2 linked regions of the Coturnix japonica genome follow. The protein of the gene in region 1 interacts with the protein of each later gene in a pairwise test. Links are inferred from orthologs where the notes say so. Each region holds a gene or a part of one and is shown on either strand. Other genes may lie near its edges.

The links.
Region 2: the proteins of GUCD1 (region 1) and CTH interact in binary tests that used the Homo sapiens proteins (3 or more experiments, as listed by UniProt). The two-hybrid records come from large-scale screens. The link is inferred for Coturnix japonica from reciprocal best matches to the Homo sapiens genes GUCD1 and CTH.

The regions. Positions count from the first base shown.
Region 1 is NC_029530.1:7,450,178-7,463,088, reverse strand, and holds GUCD1 (protein GUCD1), read right to left. Parts: upstream 12,326-12,911; 5' UTR 12,303-12,325; coding exon 12,092-12,302; intron 10,978-12,091; coding exon 10,893-10,977; intron 9,470-10,892; coding exon 9,304-9,469; intron 9,067-9,303; coding exon 8,905-9,066; intron 8,587-8,904; coding exon 8,495-8,586; intron 7,559-8,494; coding exon 7,317-7,558; intron 6,836-7,316; coding exon 6,744-6,835; 3' UTR 4,202-6,743; downstream 1-4,201. Other genes in the region: UPB1 (beta-ureidopropionase), read left to right, coding at 959-1,113, 3,061-3,144; SNRPD3 (small nuclear ribonucleoprotein Sm D3), read left to right, coding at 12,727-12,852.
Region 2 is NC_029523.1:26,179,754-26,192,371, reverse strand, and holds the end of CTH (cystathionine gamma-lyase), read right to left. Parts: intron 12,584-12,618; coding exon 12,474-12,583; intron 11,437-12,473; coding exon 11,305-11,436; intron 9,445-11,304; coding exon 9,387-9,444; intron 8,472-9,386; coding exon 8,394-8,471; intron 7,727-8,393; coding exon 7,574-7,726; intron 7,368-7,573; coding exon 7,246-7,367; intron 6,580-7,245; coding exon 6,527-6,579; intron 4,703-6,526; coding exon 4,564-4,702; intron 3,894-4,563; coding exon 3,867-3,893; 3' UTR 3,181-3,866; downstream 1-3,180. UniProt on the Homo sapiens protein: Catalyzes the last step in the trans-sulfuration pathway from L-methionine to L-cysteine in a pyridoxal-5'-phosphate (PLP)-dependent manner, which consists on cleaving the L,L-cystathionine molecule into L-cysteine, ammonia and 2-oxobutanoate.

The sequences.
Region 1 (12,911 bases):
TCCAATTAAAGGTAGTTGTACCATGGTGTGTGGTCAGTAGTTCCTACATGATGTCCCTATATGTTTGCAGAGGGCTAAGTGTTGGAGTCAAGGCAGTGCTGTAGGACTGGAAGACAGAAATCCCACAAATTAATCTGTCATACAGGTTTCAGATCATTAACCTTAATAGCACCAGCCTGCATCACATGCCAACCTATTTTGCCCTGATTCATAAATCCGTTAGGGGTTAAAGAAAAGCTTATAATTACATGAAAGTGATTTAGAAGCAACATCTGTGTCGTGGCTGGTGGAAAACTGGTCTGAATGGTTTTCTATGCAGAAATATTCTTGGCTAATTCTATTCTGTTTTTCATAACTTCCAAGTAAGGACTGGTTGAGAAACCAAAGAAAACCAACTGATTATAATTAATAATTAAGAGATGCAGCTGCATCAAGGTTAGTGATATCCAATATATGGTCATGCAGTGTGTATGGCTGATGGTTGGCACAGTTTGGAGCTGTACAGTATGAAGTACGATTTTTTCCTGCCTCAAATTTCCATGCTTTCACCTCAGGTCTTGTATTAAAAATTAAATGTGTGCATCTCTGACTGTTTTGGAAGTTTATTATTTGACAATTAGCATTCAATTAAATTTTTGCTTTCATTTTTTATTTATTTAGGCATTTAGTGTAGTGGCTTAGTAATGGGAAAGCATCATGCATTATTTAGAAGCAATGAAGTTAGTTGTTTTTTTCTATTTGTTTGATAGATTTGAAAGCTGTACTGTACATGAAAAATAACTAAAGGTCAAACTTGCAGTTATCTTAAGATTGTGCTGTAAACTGCTTGGGATGAGATACTGCTTGAAGCGCTGCAAAGGGACAGCCACAGGAAATAGAACCGAGTACTATGGGGAACTGCATGTGAAGTTGTGTAGTTGTTTGCAAACATTACATGTTTATTAAACATTTCTTTAAGCACACCATGACTTGGGCCATTTCTATGGCTCAAGTTACGTAGCTGCACCAGATGGCAGCAGGACCCCGGGACTCTCTCGTACTCAGGATGGACTTCTTGTCGTAGAGATGGATTTAAATCTTTGCAGACAAGTCAGTGACAAATGGAATTTTAAGGTAAGCCTAAATATAAAGAAATGCCTGTTTTTAAGAACAATTCATGTATGGTATTAGAGCAAACAAGCTTTCCTAGCAGTCGTGTAGCATTACAGCAGTTAAAAGGCAGCCTTCCTTCAGCAACCCACGGCTTAAACTGTGGAAAGAATAGAATGGTTTTGAGGATGTTGTGGAGGCTAAAGGTATAAATGGGTACAGAAAGGGAATAGTCAAATTCAGGGAAACCAAGGCAATAGCCTTGAAATGAAGAGCTTACCTTTGTGTATGTGCAAAAATCTTACAGTGATAACTTTCTGGATTTGTGGACATGCACGTGCTACAGAGGAAAAAGAAGCATAGTTTCTTTGAAGCGTCCTGATATGCTTTTGAGTTAATCTCAACCAGATCAAGGCAATTGCAAGTCTTTCTGTGTGGTTTAACATGGCTTAGATGTTTTGAATTCTCAGCCAAAGCTAATTTGGGTTATGTAGGTGGTAGGTGGATGGTTGCATTAGAGGATCTTGGAGGACTTTTCTGTCCTTGATTCTATTGTTCTATGAATTTGGAGTACCTCCTCCAGCAGCATTTAAGTGCTCATTTAAGTTGTTCCCACCTCAAGTATATAAAATAGATAATAATTTGCAAACAATCTTGATGTTTTAGTTAATCAGTTCTTAGAGCCAAATTTCTCTGTGAGCACTGCTCATCTGTATATAGGCATTAAATGGTAAAGCAGTGTTAGGTCCTTTTCTGTACAGAATTGCATGTGATGTGTTGCAGGTACGTGGTAGGCATATGGTGGTTGGCCTAATGGGCTTAAATTGTGCAGTGAAATCCCTTGGCTTCTGAGTCGTGCAGGCATTTATTTAGTTATGCTTTACAACTGAAATCTTAAGCCATCTTTGCAGAGCAGAGATGTAATGTGGCAGGAAGCATATGGAGCATTGTAGGGGCATCCAATCAAAAGCAATTGTATTGATTAGGAGACAAAAAAAACCCAGTAAAAGCATTAAAAGCAAAGCACTGACCTTTAGCTGTCTTGTATAGAATATTTTATTTTTATTTTTAATTCAATTGTGCTCTCAGCACGTTGCAGTTTTCTGTTGATGGTGTGCATTACCACCATTGGTCTTTTGGCACATGAGGCACAGCTGTGGCTTTTGTTTACATGACAGGGGATATCTATATAGTTTTCCTCTCATTTGTGGCCAAGACAGAGATAGTGCTTTGATATGAGGAGAATAAGGAAATACAAAATCATTTGTCCACTGCAGAAATCCTTTTGTAGTGCTTAGGCACTTAGTTAACTTGTCTCAGTATCTGCTATTTATACCCAGTGAAACCCGAATGGGCCATCAGTAGCACATCAATATAAGATTTATTGGCAACAAAACAGTTATATGGGTTGTCCTCATTACATGCTGGCAAGAGAGGAGCAATTCACTTTGCAGACTGTGCACTTGGGAAGAGGATACCAGAATGCAGAGTGTTGTATCCCAGTATCCTAGCTTGTCCTATAACTCATCATCCAAATCTACAATAGTTTGTACTACTAATGGGTGAACTGAGAGTAACCAAATCCCCTCAGTGATGCATATGCACACCTGCTGCTGGCAGTTGGTTGAATCAGTTGTCAAGGACATCATACAAAGACATAAATTGTAGGTACGCTCCTTTTCTATCCTTGACATAACTGACTTAAAAGTGAATGTTGTTGATGAGTAAAAAAGCAAGCCTGATTTTCACCTTCAGCTTCCAGCTATCCAGGATGTTAAAACACAGCCTTAAGTCAGCAGACTTGAAGGACTTTCACTTTGGAGGGTTTGCTTTTTGACTGAATTCTCATCTTACTATTTAAGTCAGTTAACTATTATGCCTACATTAAGAAACAAACACATGGTAGATATTGCTTTTTTATGGACATATTTTCATAGCTAACGGAACTGAAGCTTTGATTTCCTTTTGCAGATGACTGGTAGATATGAAATGTATGCAGACGAGCTCACTGAAGCAGTCCAGCCTTGTTTTACACCCAACATAATCCGAGAGTGAGTGAGATCAGCTTAATACAATCAAATGGTACAAAGCAAATGAAAAGGTGCAACTTTGCATTAATTTACTACGAATTACAAGTTGTTATTTTCATGTTATTTTAATTCTCTGCAAATAGTAGGGTTCAAAACTATGTGAAGTAAAATAATAAAAAAATGAGTTCTGTTTGTTAGTTCTTTTTTGTTTGCACTAATGATTCCAAACCTTTGTTCCTTGTTAGAACTATATTCAATGAAGAATACATCGATACACAATGATGATGGCATTTATCCAGTATTGTCTACAGGGTTGCACAGTTTGATGGAGAGGAGATTAAAAAAAGATTTTATATATAAGTATTTTGAGTTGCATGTCTGTCTGCTTCTGCTTTCCAGTTTATACACTCTACCCAAATGCATAATTGAAGGAGAAAGGAGACATAAACTGTTTTCATGGTTTTTGGTTGATTTTTGTTTTGTTATTTTTTGCTTGTTTCTTTGTTTTTAATTGCCACCCATTTAATGCAGTTCTGCTAGAGCTAAATATCATCCCACGCATGTCCTAGTTGTTTGGAGATCTGTGTGTCCTGTAAACTATCACCACTTTGGTTCTTTGTATTTCCTGTCACACTACATATATTTCAGCCCTAGTTGGACCACTGTCTGGGATGGGCACGTTTGGGGTGTAAAAGCAGGGCTGGAAGGCAGATGCTTTTTTTTTCCTACAGGTACATAGGCAGGAGGAGACAGGCCAAGGACAGTGTTCCCCCTCTGATGAAAGGTAATGGGGAGCTGGCTTCCTCAGACACAGAAAAAGCTGAGGTACTCAATGAGTGCTTTGCCTCAGTCTTCACTGGTGGTCAGGCTTCTTGTGTCTGCCAGGACCCTGAGCCTCTAGGTGAGGGTGTGGGGAGTGGTTTCTGTCCCACTGTAACAGTGGATCAAATGTTTGATCTCCTAAAAAGGAGAAATCCACACAACCATTTAAGCTGTGCCAGTTAAGTATAAAACATACCCTCTAAAGATTTTCCAACGTTTTTCATAATAAACCAGTAGATAAATATACCTGCTACGTCACGTTACAGGGTTAACCATGACTTAAAACCTTTATTGAGAATGGCTTAATTACAAATAAAAATATATTTATGTATAAAATCCCTGCATGTAAAATACCCCCTCCTTTGCTATGGACAGCATGAAGGAAACAAAGTGATTGACTACACATTTTCAGAATGAATGTTTTGATGGATGATCTTCCCATGGAAAACAATATGCCACAAAATGCAGGTGTTCTGGACACTTGGCCAGTGAGTTTCTTTTTGACCTGATTTTGTGTCATTTAAGTAAGTCACCTTTTTGCTTCCCTCCTTCTTCTTCCTTGTATTTTCCTCTCTCATTACCATATTCTATTTGGCTATTAGAGATCCTGCTGTAGTAAGCGGAGCTCCCATTTCATCTGTATTAACATAAACAGCTTTGGTTCTGTACATTTCAGACCATTTACCATGCCCTTAAGTTCATGTTTTATATACAAGCTCAAGGTTCACATGTGGAAGCTAACGTCAGTTACACATCTTTTGTAAGAATTTATTTATCTATTTGCTAACCAAGCCTGCTCTAAAAAAATTAATTCTGTGGCAGTTCAATGCTACTCAATGGACTACCTGAAGGAAAACGCCTGGGTTAAGAAAGTAACTATTTTTATCAGCCTGTAATTTATATAGCTGTTAATTATTAACATAGTTAATACAATCCCTCTAAGCCAAACATTGTGAATTTGAACGTGGATATAAAATTTCCAAGACCGGTAGCCATCTGCTGACTAATGTCGGAGGGATCGTGTACTGTAGGATTTGTACTCTGATCATTTTCTGGGTTTCTGCTAATATAGTGGTTTTGCTGATCACAGATACATCCCAGTTTTCATTCATTTTGCATGGACAGCTGCCAGAATGTAATCCAGCTTCACCCTGATAAACAGGATAAGGTACACTGAGAGTTTCTTATTGTGTACACCTTGTTCAGAACTTCTCAAAGCATTTTACACTTACATTGCTGTTTTTTGGCTTCTGTACAAAGGAGTGCTTTTGATTTTACTATGCATACTTACTGCATGCTTTCCAGATAGTCTGCAGTAAACCAGCAATAGTAGAAGATAGTTTCTCTCAGAAATTTCCTCATGCTGAAAGTATTTCCCCCACTAAATAACAATATCCTTTTATTGTTATTCCACACAGTTCCAAAACCTGAACAGTTTCGTTCCTAAAGCCATGTCAGGAGATCTCTGCCTGAAGTGTAGAACAAAATGTTGCCAGAAATACACGAGTACTAACAATTTTACCTACCTGTCAGAAATTGTGATGGCCAAATCTGAAATAGGTGGCTATTTCTACACCTTTACAGTGCTCCCCAGCATGGTCACTAAACCCTGGTAATACATGACAGGATTATGAATGGACTACTAACAATTTCACTTGAAAATGTTTGAACAGAGCTCCCACTTAATCCAAATGCAGCTGCAGTATAAGTTTTTTGGTTTTTTTTTTTTGTTGTTGTTGTTACTGCAGCAAAAAGAAGCTTGTATTCACAGTATTCTTAATTAAGCTCTTCTGAGAAGCTAGCTAAATGAAAGCAAATAGGGAAGTTTGGCTCAAAATATGATTCAGCATTTTAGTTACAATCTAGTCTCTCTTGTTATTTAAAATTTACACACAAAACATGCACCGTTAGTGTGTGGATGATTTCTGTATTTGCTTCATAAACATATATTTAGATTGGGTGCATCAGATAATTGCACATATGGGTGCAATAATGTCTAGAGGATTTTGCAAAGTGCAATGAAGACTCCTAGGTCCAAATAAAATATCCTTACCTAAACGTTTGAGGTAATACAGAGCCCTAGACAGTCACCTAAAAATATTTAGCCAAAAGAGATGGAGTTTGCAGCACAAGGGAACAATCTCAGTAACTGCTATTCAAAACTGAATCCCATGTACTATAAATGCTAAAACTGTGCAAGGTGAATCTTGTGGGAAGCTTCCTTGAGTAAATGTTTCACTGTTGTAATACTGAGTGGCCAATAAGGCAATTCCATCATTTGAAGGTAAGGTGGTTTAACATCAGTATTTCTTTGTTTCATTAATTCCCTGCTGAACCTCAGATCCTTAGACTGAGGATGAAAATCAGCCCCTGCTTGAAAGAGAGTGAAACAGGTATTGTCTATTCTTTTTCTGCTTCTGTTTACCTAGACATACGTATCTATTACTGAGTGTTGAACTTGATAAATTTGGTGCTTTTTTTCCTCATGCATATCATTTGAAAATAAGCTCCAAGTGAACAGGCCTTAGGCCTGTATTTCAAAACTGCTGTCAAATGTGCAGTGTTAAAAATGAGGGGAAAAAAAACACAACTATGACATACATTGCAAAATCAGATATTTCATCCAGAATAAAAAGGTAAAGACAGCATTGCAATATAGTCCTATCAATGTCTATAAAACCTCCCTTGTTTAAGATCCCACTGCAGTTCAGGAGGAAGGTCTCTGCAGGGGGTGGCCTGAGACAAGCAGCCAGCTGCTGTGCAGGCTGCACCAGAAAGGACCAGAAGTAACAGCTGTGGGTGTCAGCTGTCTGTGTAGATGAACAGAATATCCTCATCTGTGCCGTAGCTTCTCCTGGCTTCTTCAAAGTTTCTGATGCTGGTGCAGCATGTCCCTATTTAAAAGAGGAGCAAAGTGTTAGTAAAAATTAAGATGCTTGCGAGGGGCTCTTATTCTGGGTCTAGCAGACTCTGCAGAGAAAGGTAACTAATATACTGACTAGATTTATCATCTTATGTTACAGCTTCACTCAGTGAAGTTTATCTTCTCATCTAAAAGACATTGCTCACAGAAGTAATGCTGTGAATAGGTATTAAATTGGTTATCTTGCTTTACTCAGCACAAAGGTACAGTTCAGCACCTCTCAAACCACTCTGAGTTTGCTAGAATGTGCATCTCAGCGTCTGAAGTAAATCACAGAACAAATGGCTGCACTAATTTAATGAGTGTAACAAAACCTATTCTGACAAACTGTTTAGTAATGCTTGAAATAAGCGCACGCTAAAATGGGAAGTCCCCATTAGTGTGGCTTTGCATTATGGAAATGTTAGTGATGAGGTGGCTGAGAATTCACCCAAAAAGAGCAAGCTACTCACGGTCAGCGTAGGCAGGGTTGTTGTAGTAAATACTCCCTGAGGCTGTATTGTAGCCACATAACACAATGAAATGGCCCTGGTAGTCAGGATTCCTGCAGAAGCACTTCTGTCCAATGGGTAGGAAGCAGCAATATTTGACAGGACTTGAGCAAAGGTCACACAGCAACAAGACTGCATTCACTAGAACAATGGCTACGTGACCTTGGGACAGGTGTTTTTGGATGTCTTGAACTGTTACTGTGCTGTGGGGGGAAAAAAAACAGACAGGTTTTCAATGATGTTAAAACCTCCAGGGTTTGCTACAGAGAAAGCCTGACCAAATTCAAGGCCTTTGGATCTCACTGCTGCGTTTAAAGTGCAGAGCAATAGCACTGAATTCTGCACTACTAAAAGTGTAATATCCGAATGTATCACATGTCTGGGATAAGAATATTAAACGAACTGGCAACTTAATAACTTGAGAGACTTGTGGGGAAATCTTAAGTGAAGTGTTCCATCCTGCCATTAGAACTTGACAGTTAAAGACTGTATACTAACTTAATTACACGCCCAAATTGCCTCTCTCCCTGACACAGAGGAGCTGGAGTTCTTTTGCAGCTGTGTTTCTATAGCACCTCCTACAGAGAAGAAGAATTAATGAACCATAACCTAAAATCTCATTTGTTAAAAACTGTCCTTCACTGTGTACTCCAGATGGATTAAAACTCATCTCTTTGATGTGTTTTAGATGTAGGGCTGTGTGTTACACATGACTGAACTTGTGCTTTTTAATCTTCCCACTGTTTCTTCTCCTGTTTGATGCCCCAAGCATCAGGTAGATATTCACTCTGTCCCTGCCTTATCAAGAACATGATCCTTAAAAGCAAGATGGACCAACTGTCCCTTCTCTGTTAGCTTCAGTTAACAGGTAGTACCATGCGGACTCTGTGCCATATAGACTGTGAAAAAGAACACTAGTAGTCTACTCCCGTCAGCATTTTCAAATCACTCTGTCATCATTATTGCTCCTCAGACTTCACTGTTAAGTCTTTACATCCATTCTTTCAAGACATTTAATAAAAAGACTAATTCACAGAAAGGCTGAAGGTCTCATTTCAGCCTATCTTTCACCAGTTCAGCTCAGTGACTAACATGGGATCCAGAGTCTCCAACAAGAGAGAAGAGAACAATAAGCTTACCACTTCTCCACCAGCACCTTGGAGGCTTTGGCTTGTGCAAAGAGCTGATTCACTCGATTTTCTTCTGTGTCAAAGTGCTTCCTGTAAAATGACTGGAGACAACAGAAGTTGTGAACTAGAATGGCGTTCACCTAAGGTAATCCACTTCACCATCTCTGCTAGCAAGGCCCTGCATTCATTGCTATTAAGATAAGAATTCTTGCTCTAATTTATCACTTTAATTTCATTCCTGGTCTCACTTATTGTAATTTCCAAGCAGTGGCTCTTCAGCTGGCAACATGAAGGAAGTCTCTCTGGTTTGTATTGGGCAGAAGGCTGTATCACAAAAGCTAATGCTGCTGTAAGTGCTCACTAGCAAACTTGGAAGAGGCCAAGCTCTCACGGACACGGAGGCTGAGCTGGTCTCTCACCTCTAGAGGTGGTTCCTCCAGGTCTGGGCTGTCATGGTGGTGGGGAATGTTGGAAGCTAGTACTGCTGCTGCCCAGGCTGTGCCTGTTCCATAGGCAGGTAGAGGGCTCCAGTCTCCAAGGATGTTAATAATCTGTAACTTTTCATGAACGCTACATGAAAACTTTAAAAAAACAAAACAAACAAAAAACTTTATATTATGAAATCAAAGATGTAAACAAAGATGGGAAGATATCTAGTTTCTGCTTTGGAACAGATCCATACCAGTTCGGGCAGCGGGCAAACCTTGTTTCTGGGAGCTATATCTAACTAGCAGTAAGACAGCAGAGGTATTTTAGCATGATGCATAGGGGGCCCTTTTAAAACTGCCTGTCATTTCCCAATAAATGAGAACACTAACCTGATTTTTGTAACCCTTGTCCACTCCAAGCGTCTGGGTGCAAAATTTATGCTTAACACCAAAGTGCCGCATTAGGTAGGCCAGGTCAATGGTCCAAATACTCTTTGTTAACCGGAGCTCTTGGATGGCTTTCTGAAATTCATCATTGTCCAAATGATCCAGGTACCTATGGTATTAGTAGAGGTAGGGGAAAGGAAGCACAGATCTTAGGAGAAGCACAGTATGTTCTGTAGCCCAAACCTCCACATCCATGGGACAGAAAAACTGATACAATGGGCTTGGCTAAGAAATAAGCATAAAACAACCCACAAATGAGCCACAAAGTTAAGGGAAGGAAGCAGAGAATACATAAATGGATTTATTTCTGACTTTTCTTATTGGAAATATACAGGTATCTCAACTGCTCTGTAGTACTAAATATATACAGGATGCTGGACAATAGGCAAGCTATACTGAGCAAGTATAGAACTATCTTGAAGGGCTTACAATCTACATATACAAGGTTAATAGAGCAAATGCAGAAAGCAGCAGTAAAGACTAAAGCCTGCTCCAAGCAACAGATGAATTTCAAAAGGAGGAACTGTAAAGGAAGTTGATAAATATTCAAAGGAAGCCTGCTTAGGCACTGATGACACAAAAGGCAGTAAGGGGGGAGATGAAGTCTGAAGAAAGCTTGGGACAGGTTGCAAAGGGATAGGGAAGGGCAGTTACAGAGTTCTGGAGGTCAAAACAAATGGAATTAAACGAAGAAAAAACAAATTGAGGAAGCAGGGCAAACAAGGTCAGATCTGCAAGGTGAGAATATTAATCTTGAATGCTGAGTTTTGGACAGACTGGTGTGGCAAAGAGGTTAAAGGGAATGAAGAGGCAGAGGTTACAGAAGTCAAGATGGGAATTACCAGCACACGGACTAACGTCTTGGCAGAAGGGATGGAGAGAAATGAAAATCTTCTCCTTCATATCTACTAAGTGGACATCTAAATAGGTATTTCTCCTGCACCTAACATGTTCCTCTGTGGAAGGAAAGAGGAGTTCAGAAGAACAGCTACAGGTTCACAAAAAAAAAAAGAAAAAAGAAACAAAAAAAAAGAAAAGAGATGGCAATATAGTGCACAGCTGTGATGTTGAAACAACTCCTGGAACAAAAACCATTCACCCCACAGGCTGGGGGCTCAGCAGGACAGAGGCAGTATACTCAGAAACTAGGATAAACCTATCCACTGCATAATGATATAGAAAGGAATTACGTGACTTGCTGTGGTAAATACCAGTTCTGAATTGTAACAACAGGAAAGAGGGATAATTTCTTATCAGCTTAAGCATACCAAACTGCTTAATTGTTAGCTCAGGGCTGATCAATCAGAACAGTTATTCAAAAGGTCTTAAGTTTGTCTTAGCTTGTAATTTCCCTTCTGGATTGCTGTGCTAGGCCCTGGAAGCAGTAATTCTCCAAGGTATTCAGGGATATGTGTTCTTGCTAAGCAAAATTCACAGCTGCTCCAATACACCTCATGTCCCTGCACATTGCTTCCTGATACCCTCTCCCATGGGTTGGGATTTCCCACCCTTCCAATGAAAACAGCACTTACTGTAGCACCATCCTGGAGCAGGCCAGCCCGCAGTCCCAGTGGTACAGCTGCTGAATGATGGGCACTTTCAGCTGCACACATTCACCTGCAGTGAAAACACCCCGTGTGAGTAAAATGTAAAAGCTGTCAGTCGTTATATGGGAATGTTTTTCTGTACTTCACCATTCCAATTCAGCTTGTTCTCAGCTCTGTATTCTGTGCCAACAAAAAGTCATAGGTCAAATGGGTAAAAAACAGACACAACCAGGATCTCTAGGCAGTGATTTCTTACAAGCCCTATGGATTTCAGCCTCTTCTACTGCCATGTCTTTTTGTGAGTAATTTTTTAAGGTAAGACAGCTCACAAATGACACCATCTGTAAAAGGGCCAAAGAAGAGAGACAAAACCCAATCTATATCAAGAAAATCTGCAATATCAGTAATTCATCCTTTGTTATTTCTTTACAGGCAGTAGTAGTGGTTTCAGTTTCAGCAAAGCCCAGATTGCTTGATGGACTGAAGTGCTTCCGCTTGGCATTGTAACTTCAAAGACAATCCAAGTGAGTTAATCATAAAAGGCTTTTCTTAATGACTTTACCTTCGATCTGGTACAGACCCTTGGAAACCTTTGCTAACACAGAGTCAGCTCTGCTTTCAGATGGGGATAAAAAGCATTCAGCATCCTGGGGGCTGCTGCAGTTTCAACACAGCTTTATATGTAAAACTTTATGGACAATGTCTTGCAGTTTTAAACTGTTTTCTCACTGAGTTACGGCTTATTGCAGCAACAACGCGGTGCACTTTCTCAATCACGTCACTGGGTTTAATCATAACTTTGAAAGCTGGCACACACCCATTGGTGTACTCAGTGTTTGTTAGCAATGTTGATTATACTTTAGAAGGACAAACAGCCCCTCAAATCCCGCTTGAAGGAAGTAATGTAAGCATTGGCGGTGTGTTATGAGCTGTGTTATGAGCAGGTCCATTCTCTGTTACCATCCAGGGCCTTCTAACACCACAACTCACTGTGGATGTCCCTGTTCTCCATACACTATGACTTCAAAGGTAACAACCAGGCCCAGCGCTGCCCGCTTCTCATCCCCACCCCCAACAGAGCTGTCACGGCCCGACCCGCGGCTGTAAACAAGGCGGAGCACTCTCAGCTCCACCAAGTGCTTGACAGGCCGCCCCCGATCCGAGGCCCCGGAGCTGTCACTGACCTGCCTGCGGAGGGGGCTCCCCCGGCTCCCGGGGGCTCCTCATGACGGCGGCCGCCCGCTCACTACCCGCCCCGCCGGACTTAGGGCCGCGCCATGCCCTGCTGCGGCGACGGCTCCTCCCGGCTGCGGAGGGGGCGGACCCCGAAGCGGCTGCTCGGAGCTGGGAGGGAGGGAGCTGCCTTCGGGAGGAACAAAAGTGCAGCGGAACCATCGTGATAAGGCAGCGAGACCCTGAGGGACAGGAGCAGTAGCAGGATCCGCTCCTGTGCCCTTCCGATTCCGGGGCTCTGTGCACGGCGGGAAGGCGGCGGCCATTAGGGTGGTTGGTGGGAGGTGAGTGTCGGTGGGGGTTTGTTATAGGGTCGGTTTGTTATGGGGTGGGTCTGTTGTGGGGGTTTGTTATGTGCCTGCAGCTTCGTAGGGCGGCAGATGTGGGCTGAGAGGGTGGGCTGCCCTCAGCCTTGGGCCGGGCCTTGGGATAGGCGTGTATTGCCAAAGCACTGAGGCCTTTGTTCAATGGAGCAAATCGGCTCCTGTAGGCAAAGCCGAACTGCAGAACGACTGGGAGTTTGTTTCCTTTATTCACTTCTATGTTGTGCTCTCTGTCCCAGGAGTAGAGCCGCAGTGTTGCAGCCATGTCCATCGGGGTGCCCATTAAAGTCCTGCACGAGGCAGAGGGCCACATTGTGACCTGCGAGACCAACACTGGGGAGGTGTATCGTGGGAAGCTCATTGAGGCTGAGGACAACATGAATTGCCAGGTAAAAGAAGTTTATCTCATCTGTTTGGAAGTGGTTGCACTCAGCAGACTGACAGCGGG
Region 2 (12,618 bases), on another chromosome or scaffold:
TCATTTTCTTGTGCTCCTTAGAATATTACAGATCTCGGATCCCAATAAAGGTTTAGAAATACACTTAAAGAAATGTGTACAGTTTCCATAACTGCAGTCTTTGCAGCTCCTAAGAAAGATGCAGAGTTTCCCATTCCAGAGGTCTGGTAATTTACAGACTAGCTCAGTGCTGACACAAGCTAAGGAGCTGCAGTTCCAACCCCCTGCTGTGTGCAGGGTCAGCAACCAGCAGCCCAGGCTGCCCAGAGCCACATCCAGCCTGGCCTTGAATGCCTGCAGGGATGGGGCATCCACAGCCTCCTTGGGCAACGTGTTCCACTTCCAGTCCACTTTACATTCACTCTCACAAGGACCACACTTCTGTAGACAAATGAATGTCCACCACAGACAGATCAGATACTCTAACCCTCATTCTTGACTTCTTTCCACTCTGAAGTGCTGCCACAGCATCACAGGGTCCCATGCAATGGGATGGGGACACAGCTCCAGTCCCAGGCTCACCCCCAGCAGCGCCCTGGCCCACTGAGCACAGTGTCCCTAAGCTGGGACCTGTGTTGTGGGTCTGCTGAGGTGTGGCTGTGTGATGGAGCCTCCTGCTGCTGCCTCATGCTGCACAACCTTTGGGCAGGACGTGGGAGGATGTTTTCCTAAAGGGAGCTGACATGAGGGAGTGAAAACGGCATTTGTAAATCAGCTGCCACACACGGCAGTGGGTAAAATAATCATGAAGCGCTTCTCAGCCTCACACTCCATTCCAGTGCTCCCCAAAGGCAGGGCTGCAGGGGCAAAGCAAGCTGTGCTAACACAGGACTGCACTCACCTTGCTGGAGTGAACGCCCATAGCAGCAGTCAGCACACAGGATGCTGCATAGCAGCCATCTGCCTGCCCTGACCTGCAGCACCGCAGGCATGGGGTCAGTGGAGCTGCCAGGGCCTGCACTCACACTGAGCACCATCATCCAGATGGAAAATATGCACTTGATATTTTATACATATATTAGTTTACATAATTATGACAAATAGCAGATTTCAATTACAGCAACTTTCCTGTAAGTAAAAGCTTGGAGTTTCTAAGAACTGATCTGACTAATGTGCTGCGGCTCTTGGCTGCGCTGCGGCTGGAAAACAAAAAAAAACCTCCATCAAAACACTGCAAATGTGACAGCGGCCAGAAAACAGCAAGAGGTCAAGTGTGAGGAATCTGGGCCTGGAGGGAGCTGTGGGCTCCTCTTGCTGCCACATGCGAGCATCGGCCAGCACTGAATGCTGCACAGCGCAGGCAGCAGGGCAGGACAGATCACACCTCGTATGGCTCACCTCGCTCCTAATGCCATTAGGCCACTCATCTCCTCTGCCCAGATGCTCTCTAATTGTCCTCACTCCTAGGGCCAAGCACTACACAACCATTTTCTGGGGAGCAAATGTAATTTTTCTTCAAAAGGAGCACAATCTGGGACCCGACATAAAAGAAGAACTTTCCCTTGAAGTGTAATGCAATCTGAAGCCACATGCCCAAAATCTAATCAGAGGATGAAAGTCCTCTTACCTTCAGAGAGAACGTTCTGTGAAACACCAGACAGACCACGATTCACCCCCTGCAGTCCACAGGGAGCCCTGATGGACCATTTGTTAGACGTCCTCACTTATTTTGCCTGTTTCAAAGCATTCTCGTTTGCTGACAGTATCCCACCTTTATCACATTTATCCCTGACCTGGTCTCACCACTTGCACTGGTTCTGTGTCATTCACATTGTCACTGAGCAATTTATTCTGAGACAAATCCACTGCAGAAATTTCCACGGTGAAATACAAGTGATGGCTCCCTCGGGCCTCACCTCAGTGCCCGCAGAACTGACAGTCAGAAGCTAATTATGTTTTCCAGTTGAAGCAGATTAGAAGAGGTTAAATTCTATGATGGAGGCATTTGCAGGAGAGCTGGGGAAAGGCCCTGGCTGACCAGCAGCATCGGCAGACTGCAGCCATGGGAACACTGGCACACAGAGCACAGCCAGTGCATCCACTGCCCCTTCACCAGGCTCCACCTGGGGCACCTCGACACTTCTTGTTTTAAATATATACAAAAGACAGCCAAAGAAACCCTGCTGTCTCCATACCACGGTCACTTCTGAAGAAGCAAAATCAACTTCTGAGAAAACAGGGCTCATGTCTTTTTCAGTTATGAAGTTATGAAAAGAAACAAAGAAGGGGAATGCTTGTTCTCCTTTTGTCATTGCCAAAACACAACAATACAGAGAAAAAGGAAGAGTGAATAATCCACCGTGGCTGTATTTTCTGTCTTCTGGGTACCCGAGTGGATCAATAGTTATAAAGCTGTACCCATAGTTACACATAAAAAGAATTATTTGCTGAAGTTCTTCCTGTGGAATTAATGTCATGATGTCAAATGATGCTTTTATACTTAGGGTCAAATGCATGTCTATCCCGACAGCTCAGCAGCAATGCTCATTCTGCAGAAGTCAATGAACATCTATCTGTGATGTCTCACTCTCCTTCCAGACAGGTTAGCAGAGAATGAATCACAATTAGCACTTCTAGGGCTAAGATGCAAATGAATGTGTTTCATCTCGGCTTCTAGCTTTTGAACAGCTGATGAGAGAGAAGTCGTCAAGCAGCATTTCCTATCAGCTCCCATTAGGAAAATGAAAGAGAAGAAAAGCAAAGCCCGGGCCTGGCTGAGAAAGCTGCTGGGCCTGAGCCTGGTGTGGATGCTGCCAAAGGCCACAGCAGAATCTCCGTGCAGCACAGCCCTCATCTGCAAATAGGTGCCCTTCTGTGAGTCGCCCTCCTGTCCAAGGGAAAGCCTTGCTTGCCTGAGCACTGCAGTTAGCGTGTCGGAATTTCTATTTCTTGATGAAAGTAAAACATCACAGGATCATAGAACGGCCTGGGTTGCAAAGGCCCACAGTGCTCATCCAGCTCCAACCCCCTGCTGTGTGCAGGGCCACCAACCAGCAGCCCAGGCTGCCCAGAGCCACATCCAGCCTGGCCTTGAATGCCTGCAGGGATGGGGCATCCACAGCCTCCTTGGGCAACCTGTTCCACTACATCAATGATGTCATTTTCCTATAAATTTAACTATAAATTTTAACAGATTGAGGGTCACTTTATCAACCGATCCAGAACGCGACCAGCGCACCCAAATATCACAACAAGAATAAATCAGAGAGATTCAAATTGTGTTTTAATCAAAACGATCCTAACTCTAAAAACCAAATCATTACCACAGTTAGCACATTATAATTTTTTTTTTAGGTCAGAGAATCACCTTTAAAAAGCTGCAATTCTTAACCAGACATTGGATTTTGCTTCAATATCCCATAAAAGATGAAAAAGTACTAAACCAGATTTCAAAACCTCATTAAAAAGGAAAATCTAAACGTTATCAGCAATATTTAGGTTAAACAGTTAGATTAGAAGAGATAAGAAAAACAGAAATTTGCATCCTAAAGAGCATTAGCAGAAACAAACCCTACTGATCCGGCACCCCTAAAGCATTAGTAAGGCAAATGGGAAACATCCATCTCCCTGGAGAGAATCATGACAGTATTCCTGAGTGTGTCTCATGGCTGCTCTCAAACACAACTTACTGACCCACCAGTTCCAAAGAAAGAGGGTCACAGCACAGCAGAAATGGACACACAGAACAGCACAGGCTTCATGTCACAGTGCACAGCACGTGCACAACCAGACACGAGCCCAACAAGCATGGTACCACAAAGTGACAGCTCCCCAGGAACCCAGAGTTTGATTGAATAGATTTCAGTTCTCAAAGGTATATCAAAGAAAAATTGTCAGCCGTTTGATTTTCTGCATCATCTTCTTTAGATGTCTCCAGGTTTCAGCCATCATTTCAAAGCCTTAGGGTCAGGGATCTACAGTGAGAAGGAGAAATGTGAGTAATTAGGCTGTGCTCTTACAATGACCAGGTACCTCTTTTGTTTTCTTTTCTTTTGCAGAAATAGGACACATTTAAGCACTAGATTTTCTTCATCATCTGTGCTGGTGTATAGAAACACATGTAGTTTCTGATGCTGGTTGCTACAGGCATCTCACACAACCAATTAGACACAACACTTTCCTGTCTGTGCAGTACATCAAACTGCTACACACCTGCTAAAAACGGTGCACAACCCACATTCACTTTTTACCCCCTCAGTGCCACCCTGCTCTCTGACATGACATGACAAAGTGGAAGTGCAAGCACTCCCACCAAGCACTTGGATGCCTGATGAGTCTCCATTCAGGCTGACTCAAGCAGCTGTCTTAGCTGTTTGGGCTCCAAGGACATCCTATTTGCAGCAGGAATCCACATGAACTGTGACTAATGAGGACTGCAAAGACTCCATAAAGTACACTTCTGAGTCACTTAAAAGTTAAGTGAAGCAAGAATTATGAGGAGACAGCTGCTGCATCACTTCATTAACTTATTCCTGAGATTCAGGATGGATGCTGAAAGAGTTCACATGTGACTAGTGAGAAAGGCCGAGAATTAGGGAGGAAATCCTTTTCAGAGTAAAGGCGCTAAGCTAGCAGCCAACTTACTGCAGCTTTCAGAGCTTGGTCTAGGTCTTCCACTAAATCTTCCTCATCTTCCAAACCAATTGACAGGCGAATTAATGTATCGCTGATTCCAAGAGCTTCTCTGTCTTCTTTACGCACTGAAGCATGAGTCATGACAGCCCTGCAAGAAGATGGAAGAAAGCAGAATTTTTCCTAAGGTACGTTATTTTTACTTGAAAAAATCAAGGAAATGGATCACCTGCCAGCATTCCCTGTAGTTCCAAGAAGACTTTACACCTTTGACATGCCACCTGCTGGATAACCATAGACCAAAAGAGATTTCATCATCAATTACTGCACCTTATGCCAACCATGGTGAAGCCAGTGGCTTCCACCTCCCGGAATCTCAGTACAGTATTTCCAAAGAACGATGAGTAAGAAGTGGATACTTAAATAATCTGGAACTGAAATTGAGAAAAACACTTTCTCTCCGCCTTCCAGACATATGCTAACATTTCTGGTAAGTGGCATCTAAAAGCTCTATTTTAAGCATGTGGGGAAAGGTTTACATGTGCCACCTCCACTATGAAATCCCCTGATATTTGTTTCTCACTTCTGGTTCCTCAGATCACCCGTCACACTGTACCATGCATGTGGAAGAATATTCTCCCCAGCTATGAAGGAAGCTAAGAAGCCATTTGTCACTGACATCCACTACTCTGCAATTACCTTTCAACAGCTGAAGTGTTTAAAGATGCCTCATCCCAAAATGAGAAACCAAAATGATTTAACAGATCTTTAACCTTAACTTTCCATGTATTTTTTGACTAGCAAATCAGATTTCAGCAAAGCAATCTCATTACAGAAGAATCCTACTAGTAACCCTTTAACCTGGACAGTGGTGCCTACGAACTACTAAAATCCCCACCAAGTCTGCTGAGCATGCAGACAGGCTCGGTTCAGTGCAACGTACTGAATGTGCCCTCTTGTGTAAGCAGCTAGAACGGCAGTGTAGCCAAATCCACTCGATTCTACTTGCTCTAAATCACCCTGACTCCTTGGAATTGCTACCGTAACACCAAACGGTGGCTAAGTCTCCCACCTACAGCACTAAGTGAGGACATTGGCAGCAGTAGTATTGCTGAAAGTAATGCAAATCTGTTGCTAAAATGCACAGTGCTTCTGGAATGATTTGTTCAGCAGAGCCAAGAGCTAGTGAGAAATTCCAGCCATGGCCAGCAGCACCACAGGGTGACTGAGGAAATGGAAAAGAGAGTGTTGATGAATGTGCTTGGATGTTTATTTAAAATGCAGGTCTAGCTTGAGCCAGGAGAGCCAGGCAAGTACAGATGCAGGCACAGCACTTGGAGCCATCTGTGCAGACAACGCATCTCCCTGGGGCAGCTTCCATGGGCTGCTCCCGCTACTGCATGTCATACTTCTCGCCTCTCCACAGTGCATTCAGGGGAGCCCACTGAATGCAAGTGGGCAGTGCTATTTTGCATATGTGCAGAGACCACAAGTGCAGAACAGCTTAGCCTTGTCAGGACAGACACTATTTAAACCACATGAACATTTTCCTCCCCTTTCAACCCGTTTGCTGTTGAGATTTTTGTAACAGGTGATTCTGGAAGAATCCCACAGCAAGAAATTGCTGCAGCTGCTGGGGCCACCCGAGCAGATGGGTGACCAACATCCAGAGCTTGGGGAGGGAGGGGGAGCCTTCCAGGCCTCAACCCCAACGTCTGCAGCAGTGAAGACATCTGCACAGCCTCAGGTCTGCACGCCCACCTCACACCAGTCGGCCTTCCTGTTTCACAGAGGGAATTCATTTCTGGAGAAGTCTCCATTTTTGTGTTACACAACACGCTATTCTTGGATGACAATTGTAGGCAATCTATCTTTGCTTTGTATACCTGAACATTTTAGAACTCCCACAAAAAAAGTTGAGGAATTTTGTTACTCTGCAGCTTTTTTAGGACTGTTAAGATGAAGAAGGACTTACGGAAGCTCTGCTAAGCTTTCATATCCTCCCAGGCTCTCAGCCAGTGTGAACACCTACAGGGAAACAGTAAACAGAAGTGAACACAAAAAGCATAAGTTTATTAATGCTTAGAAATAGACAGTGAAAGAAAAAGAAACCTCCATTTTTAGTACGTAATTTTCCCTATGGTTTTCAACAGTGACTTCTGTATTTTAAGAAGTATTAACTATAATGAAGAAGAAAATTACTTTTAGTGGTTAAGAGCCATCAAGATTTCACTTCAAAACAGCTCTGAAGAACTGCAGATGCAAAACTGTACGCCCATGCTGAGCAAACCTAACTCTGGATTAGGTTCATTTACCGTTTTGAAGAATGTCTTGACAAGTGCTTTGAAATTCAACAGCAGTATTGCACCAGCCACTCTGCCTTCAAGTACTGCAGGCAATTAGAATAGGCCAGCTCTTGGTTAGAAGCAATGCCTGGGCTAACCTGGAGACGTTACACCACATTGTGTAAACAGACACCTCAAATGAGCTGAAATATCCTTTTCTTCCCTCTCATTAGCGTCTAATTTATGCACAATCTATTATTTAGAGATGGCTACACCCAAAATAAATTAGGAGCTTTAAAAGTACAGAGGAAGACTCTCCCTGCCCCAAGAATAAACCCTGCTTCCATCATCACACTCAGAAGGACAGATTCAGTTCACATTAAAGTAGAGTGTATTTGCCATCATTTACCTTTATGCTCTTCAGAAAGATAGTAGCATGTTTGAGGTTTCCTTTAATGTAAAATGACAGCATCCCTGAACAGCCGGTGCACTGCCGCTTGACCAGCTGGTGCTGGGGGTGGGAAGGCAATCCTGAAATCAGAAGGAGCCACTGTCAGTTAATTACCATCACATCAAAGGGTACAGCAGCTCACCCTGAACTGCACAAAACATCCTTCTGATGGGAAGGAATGTAAAGCTCATTGCCGAGATACCTAACCACGAGCCATCAGACGTGAAGGCTGCTCAAGCGGCACGTAGCAGCGCAGCACCCAGACCCTGCAGTTCTGCCAACCTACCTGGGTAAATGACTTTCTCCACTCTGGGATTTGACTCAAGGAATCGACCCACAGCCAAAGCATTGTGGAAGTGTTGATTCATCCGCAGCTTCAGAGTCTTCAGACCCCGGTTGCAGAGGAAGCAGTCAAAGGGAGACGGAATGGCTCCGATTGCTATGGGAATTGAGACACAAAACCACACATGGAACAAAGAGGGGTTTTCTTGTTGGTTTTGTTGTTGTTTGTTTGCTTGTTTCAGTGAAACTACAGTCCAAACTTCCCAACGTTCTTAAGTTACAACAAGACGCGAGTGAAGACATCTGATACGATCTGCTGCTCTTGCTTCACACACATGGGAAGCCAATTAGTGAGATAAATTAACACACTGAAGACTTGCACACAAAATTTATTAGGTACAGTGTACCTTTATTCCTTCTGTTGTAGAGAGGACACTGCATGGAAATTTATTCAATATAATTAAGAGGCAATAAAATCATTAAAACTCACATCAGAGGATAGTTTTTAAAAATAAAATATAATTAGCATGAATTGGATGAACTTCACCAAATATGTCAAGGTTTGCAAACCTTTTTGTGAGTGAAGTCAGGTAAATCCAGGAAATGCCTGTGCTCTTTCTGCCATAGACTTAATCCTAACCTGAAGAGAGACCTGGTGAAGAGCCATGCCCCGTGTAACTGCAGGCACTGCACATTTGAGCCACTCTGCACCTGATGCTTTCTGGATGTGCCACGTACTTGTGTGCATGCCATATGCTTCCTAGCATGAGCTGGTACATCAGAATACAATATATTTAAACTTATTTCCTACATTTACTACTTACAGCCTTGTAAGAATTTCAGCCTTTCGTACAGATCATCACGATTTACTGAAACGAGCCCCATCACAACATCACTGTGCCCTAAAAATGCAAGAACATAAGAAGAAAGTGAGCCACTTTATCTCCACCAGGGTTCTCCACAAACCCTCTCTTTTCTCAGTCTTGGTGCTAAGATAGTCCCATTTTGGCAACATGCTGGATTCCTTCTCGCTGCTACAGCTGCCCTTGCTGTGCTGTCATGTGGAACATAAGCAGATTCCCACATGATCTGAAGTGAGGGTCAGCAGTGTGCTCTGACACACACTGTGCTGGTGCTCCAGGTCCCATCACATGCTGCAGTGAGCTGCCAGGAAGCAGGACTTTGTCCAGCCACCGTCGAGCTCCTGTGGAGCTGCAGCCAAGCAGAAAACTTCCACTTTAGTCTGCACCACAAGCAGACACATGCTCACAGCACAGCTGTTACTGCTGGGCCACCCCTTAGCCTGGGTTGTTTAGGAAACAACACAGTGAATGTGCTTCTGAACAGGCTCCAGCACCGCCACATAAAACATGCCTTCAACTTTGGTATCAATTCCAGCAGCGACCTTGTACTGAAGTCTCACATTTGGTTTTATGGCTCAGTGCATGTGCATGGTGCATTTCCAAAAGCCACTTTTGGCTTTTCATTGCTCAAGACTGTTCCATGTGGGACAGTGTAAGACCAGCTGAGCCTGGAGGGAGCCCAAGTTTGAAAAAGACTCTGATCTTGTAGATTTGTTTTTCTTATTAAAACCAACCATCTGGGCTCCATCACCATGCAAACTGTGTTTGCACAATGTTGCTTGTTGGTGCTAATAGCAACAGCTACTACCTATGGATTTATCTATGGCAAAAGGGAGTTTAAAAGCATCCATGAGACATGGAAGTGGATCAACAGGTGAGAGCAGAAAACCTCTGCAGTAGCTTTTAAATGGGTTTTCTGTAACAGCCTGAGTTGTGCTGGACCCAAGCACTCACCATTCACATATTTGGTTGCAGAATACATACAGATGTCAGCTCCCAGGGACAAAGGACGCTAAAAAGAAATGAAAATAATAGGTTTGATTAAAGTTACTTTTGCGCTCTGGTTCCTTCCAAGCTGCCCAGAAACACTGTGATCAAGCACAGAAAGTTACAAGAGAGAGAAACTAAGAGGAAAAACAAAAGCAAGACACAAAAGTGAGAGTGAAGAAAGATAGAAAGTGGGACAAAAACCAGATGTAAAAGAAAGCACTTCGTTCTTAAACCAGTTATGTTGCTTAGCTGAGGCAGTGCCATGTAATGCTGCCTCGAGCGTATCTCCTTAGAAAAGGAAGGCCTCCACACTAAGCAGAGCTCTTCTCAGTTCTCCAGAAACCCACATTGCTGCTACTGCACTGGAAGGACAGCTGGACACCTGAGGAAAGCACAGAGGGCGTTGTTTGCCAAGTCTCCCATCCCTGGTGTGCTCAATGTTCAGCCTAGGAGCCTTTCTCAGGCGAGAGTCAAACCAAGACTACACTAGGCAAGAAGTTATGAACTTTTTTTTTTTTAATTAGTCCCTAAGTAAAGGACTTTACGTGTATAAAATAAACAGATTATAAAGACTGGAGAGTACTAATACATTAAAAGGTGACAAAGCAAGCAGATTTAGAATAAAAGAGTGTTGCTGTCAGCTTAAGCACGTAAGTCTACCGCAGGAACATGGATAATGTGCATTCCCACTGTGCAGCCAAGAGAACAGTAGCATAAACACCAGTGCCTTTTATACTCAATATTGCTACATAAATCACTCTAAAATTATGATTTTCTTAGTACACTCAGGAGTCTGGAGGAGTTTAAAAACATTACCTATTATGCTTACTGGGCTTAATCATTACTGACTCCCTCTGAGGACCAGTCCAATGAAGTATACATTAACTAGCTCACAGACACAGATGCTGACTCTTCTCCTTACACACACATCTTTCAACAGTAAAATAAATAAAAGGAAAAGAAACCAGCATCTTTGGTATATACAAGACAAGCTCAAGAGCTGCTCTAGCTAAGCATTAACACTTCCTGTAGGGCTCTCTTAATTTATAACGATCTCAGTGACCATAATAAAAAAAATTTAAAAAAAAAAAAAAAAAAAGAAAACAGAAAAAAAGACATCTTCCCTACTTGCACTCAAAAAGAAGTTCTTTGTAGACCTAAAGACCTAAAAGATGAGGGATTTCTTTGATCTCTGGGGAAATACATGGGGATACTTCTAGCCCACACTGAGATGAACCAGACCTTGAAGTTCATTATTTAGAAGTACTTTTAGAGTTCTGGAATTCCCTTTACTTCCTGTATTCTAGTTATTAAAGCACAAAAGTTGTATGAGTTGTCCAACATCAAAACCTGTTCATCAAAATACTGGTGAAAAAGTTAACTTTAACACCTGAAAGACACAGTTAAAATCTTTTTCTTCTTTTAACCATTCTCTCCACTTCCTTTTTGGAATACCAAAAACAGATCTCAAGCAGCACATGCAGAAGAACTGGTAGAAAAAAAGACAAAGGTGGAGAACAATACATTTTTCAGTAGGTCTGTTAGGATTCCCACCTGTTAGATCTACAAAACACAAGACTTCTGAGTGACAGAGTAGCTTTCGTCCTGATGGCTCAACTTACCTTCTTGATTGCATAAGCTTGTTTACTTAAGCTGTGAGCCACATTGCTTTTGTTGGTGTCAGACTGGCATATAGCTAGCTATAAAGTATTTTGCATGCCATCTCTGCTAAATTATAAAGAAGCAGCGCATTGCTTGCATTTAGAGGCAATTTTACAGCACACACATCAAAACGACGGTTTTAGCAGTGGTTCCATTTTAAAAAAGGCATCTTTGAAGACATTGAAATGCCAGGGTAACTACAAGGAAAGCAAGCACTTACCTGGAAATATGGAGACATAAAACTGTTGTCTACTGCCAGAAGAATATCTTTATGCTTATGGACCACATCAGCACAGCCCTGAATATCAATGACCTTCAGCGTGGGGTTTGTGGGCGTTTCAATCCAAACAAGCTGTAGTAATTCAACAATACAAAGCATCTCTTTAGGGATACGACAGTGCTGGTGACCAGACATGCACAATGCAGCGCCAAAAGCAAAACTTTCCCACCTCTTACGAATTTTTAAAGGTACCCACCTAAAAACCTATCAAAGCAGGAATACCCAGGCTTCACAAATAAACACAAGGTACTGTTACCACCACTAATCACCATCGGTATCTTTTAGGACAGTTCTACTACTATCAGTTCCACCATCACAAACACTGTATTTACTTAAAGAATTATTACTCTGCTATATGTTACTCTAAAACTGTTACTGTTCCAAAGTACTCCTTATTCATTTTCATATCATGGTTACAGTGTCACTAACTGCAACTCCCCCCCCCCCCAAAAAAAAAAGAAAAAGAAAAAAAGCTCCTTTAGACTGCCAACAGTAACGTAGGTATCAGAAAAGACTTCTTTCTCCTCCTCAATAGGAAGAGGCAACACATCTCTCTGAACAAGCCCTTACTGCTTAGGGATGTTCTCCTATTTCTAATCTTAAGGCACTTGGAAATTGTCCAATTATTTAATGCTTCCTGGAGATTTCAGAAAGTAATTATGTCCAGGCACTGCATTTGTTTTATTTTATACAGTAAATAACAGCCCATCATAGGGCCAGTTATGATCCCTGCGCTAGGCAGACACTCAAGGCTCAAATGAGAATGCTCGTAGGTCACAACAGACAGGCGGACCAACCACCAACTGGTATCATGGGCAACCTGGAGAAAGCAGTTTAATTTATTGCCAATGAAACACCTTTCCTCCCTACCATCCAGAGGGCAACTTCTCTCCTTTGTGCCATTGTGCATCTCTTCCCCCTCCTCCATCCTCCTCCTCTGATCTTGCGGTTCCCTCTGTTGTTTCCTACTCTTTCTCTCCTCCTGCCTCCACCCAGTGCCTGAGCCCTTTCCATCACCAAAACCTTGCCACATACCAGCCAGCAGTAGCATCAATAAAGTTATTTAAGGTCATTAAGCATATAAGCTCAGCAATTTCTCTCTCCCCTACCTTAGTCTCAGGTGTAATTGCAGCTTCCAGGCATTTCAATTTTGTACAGTCCACAAAAACTATTTTTAAGCCCATTTCCGAGGCTATTGTCTGGAAGTATCTGTTTGTACCTTTACAAAAGGAAAAAGCAGAGACACGGAGTGAA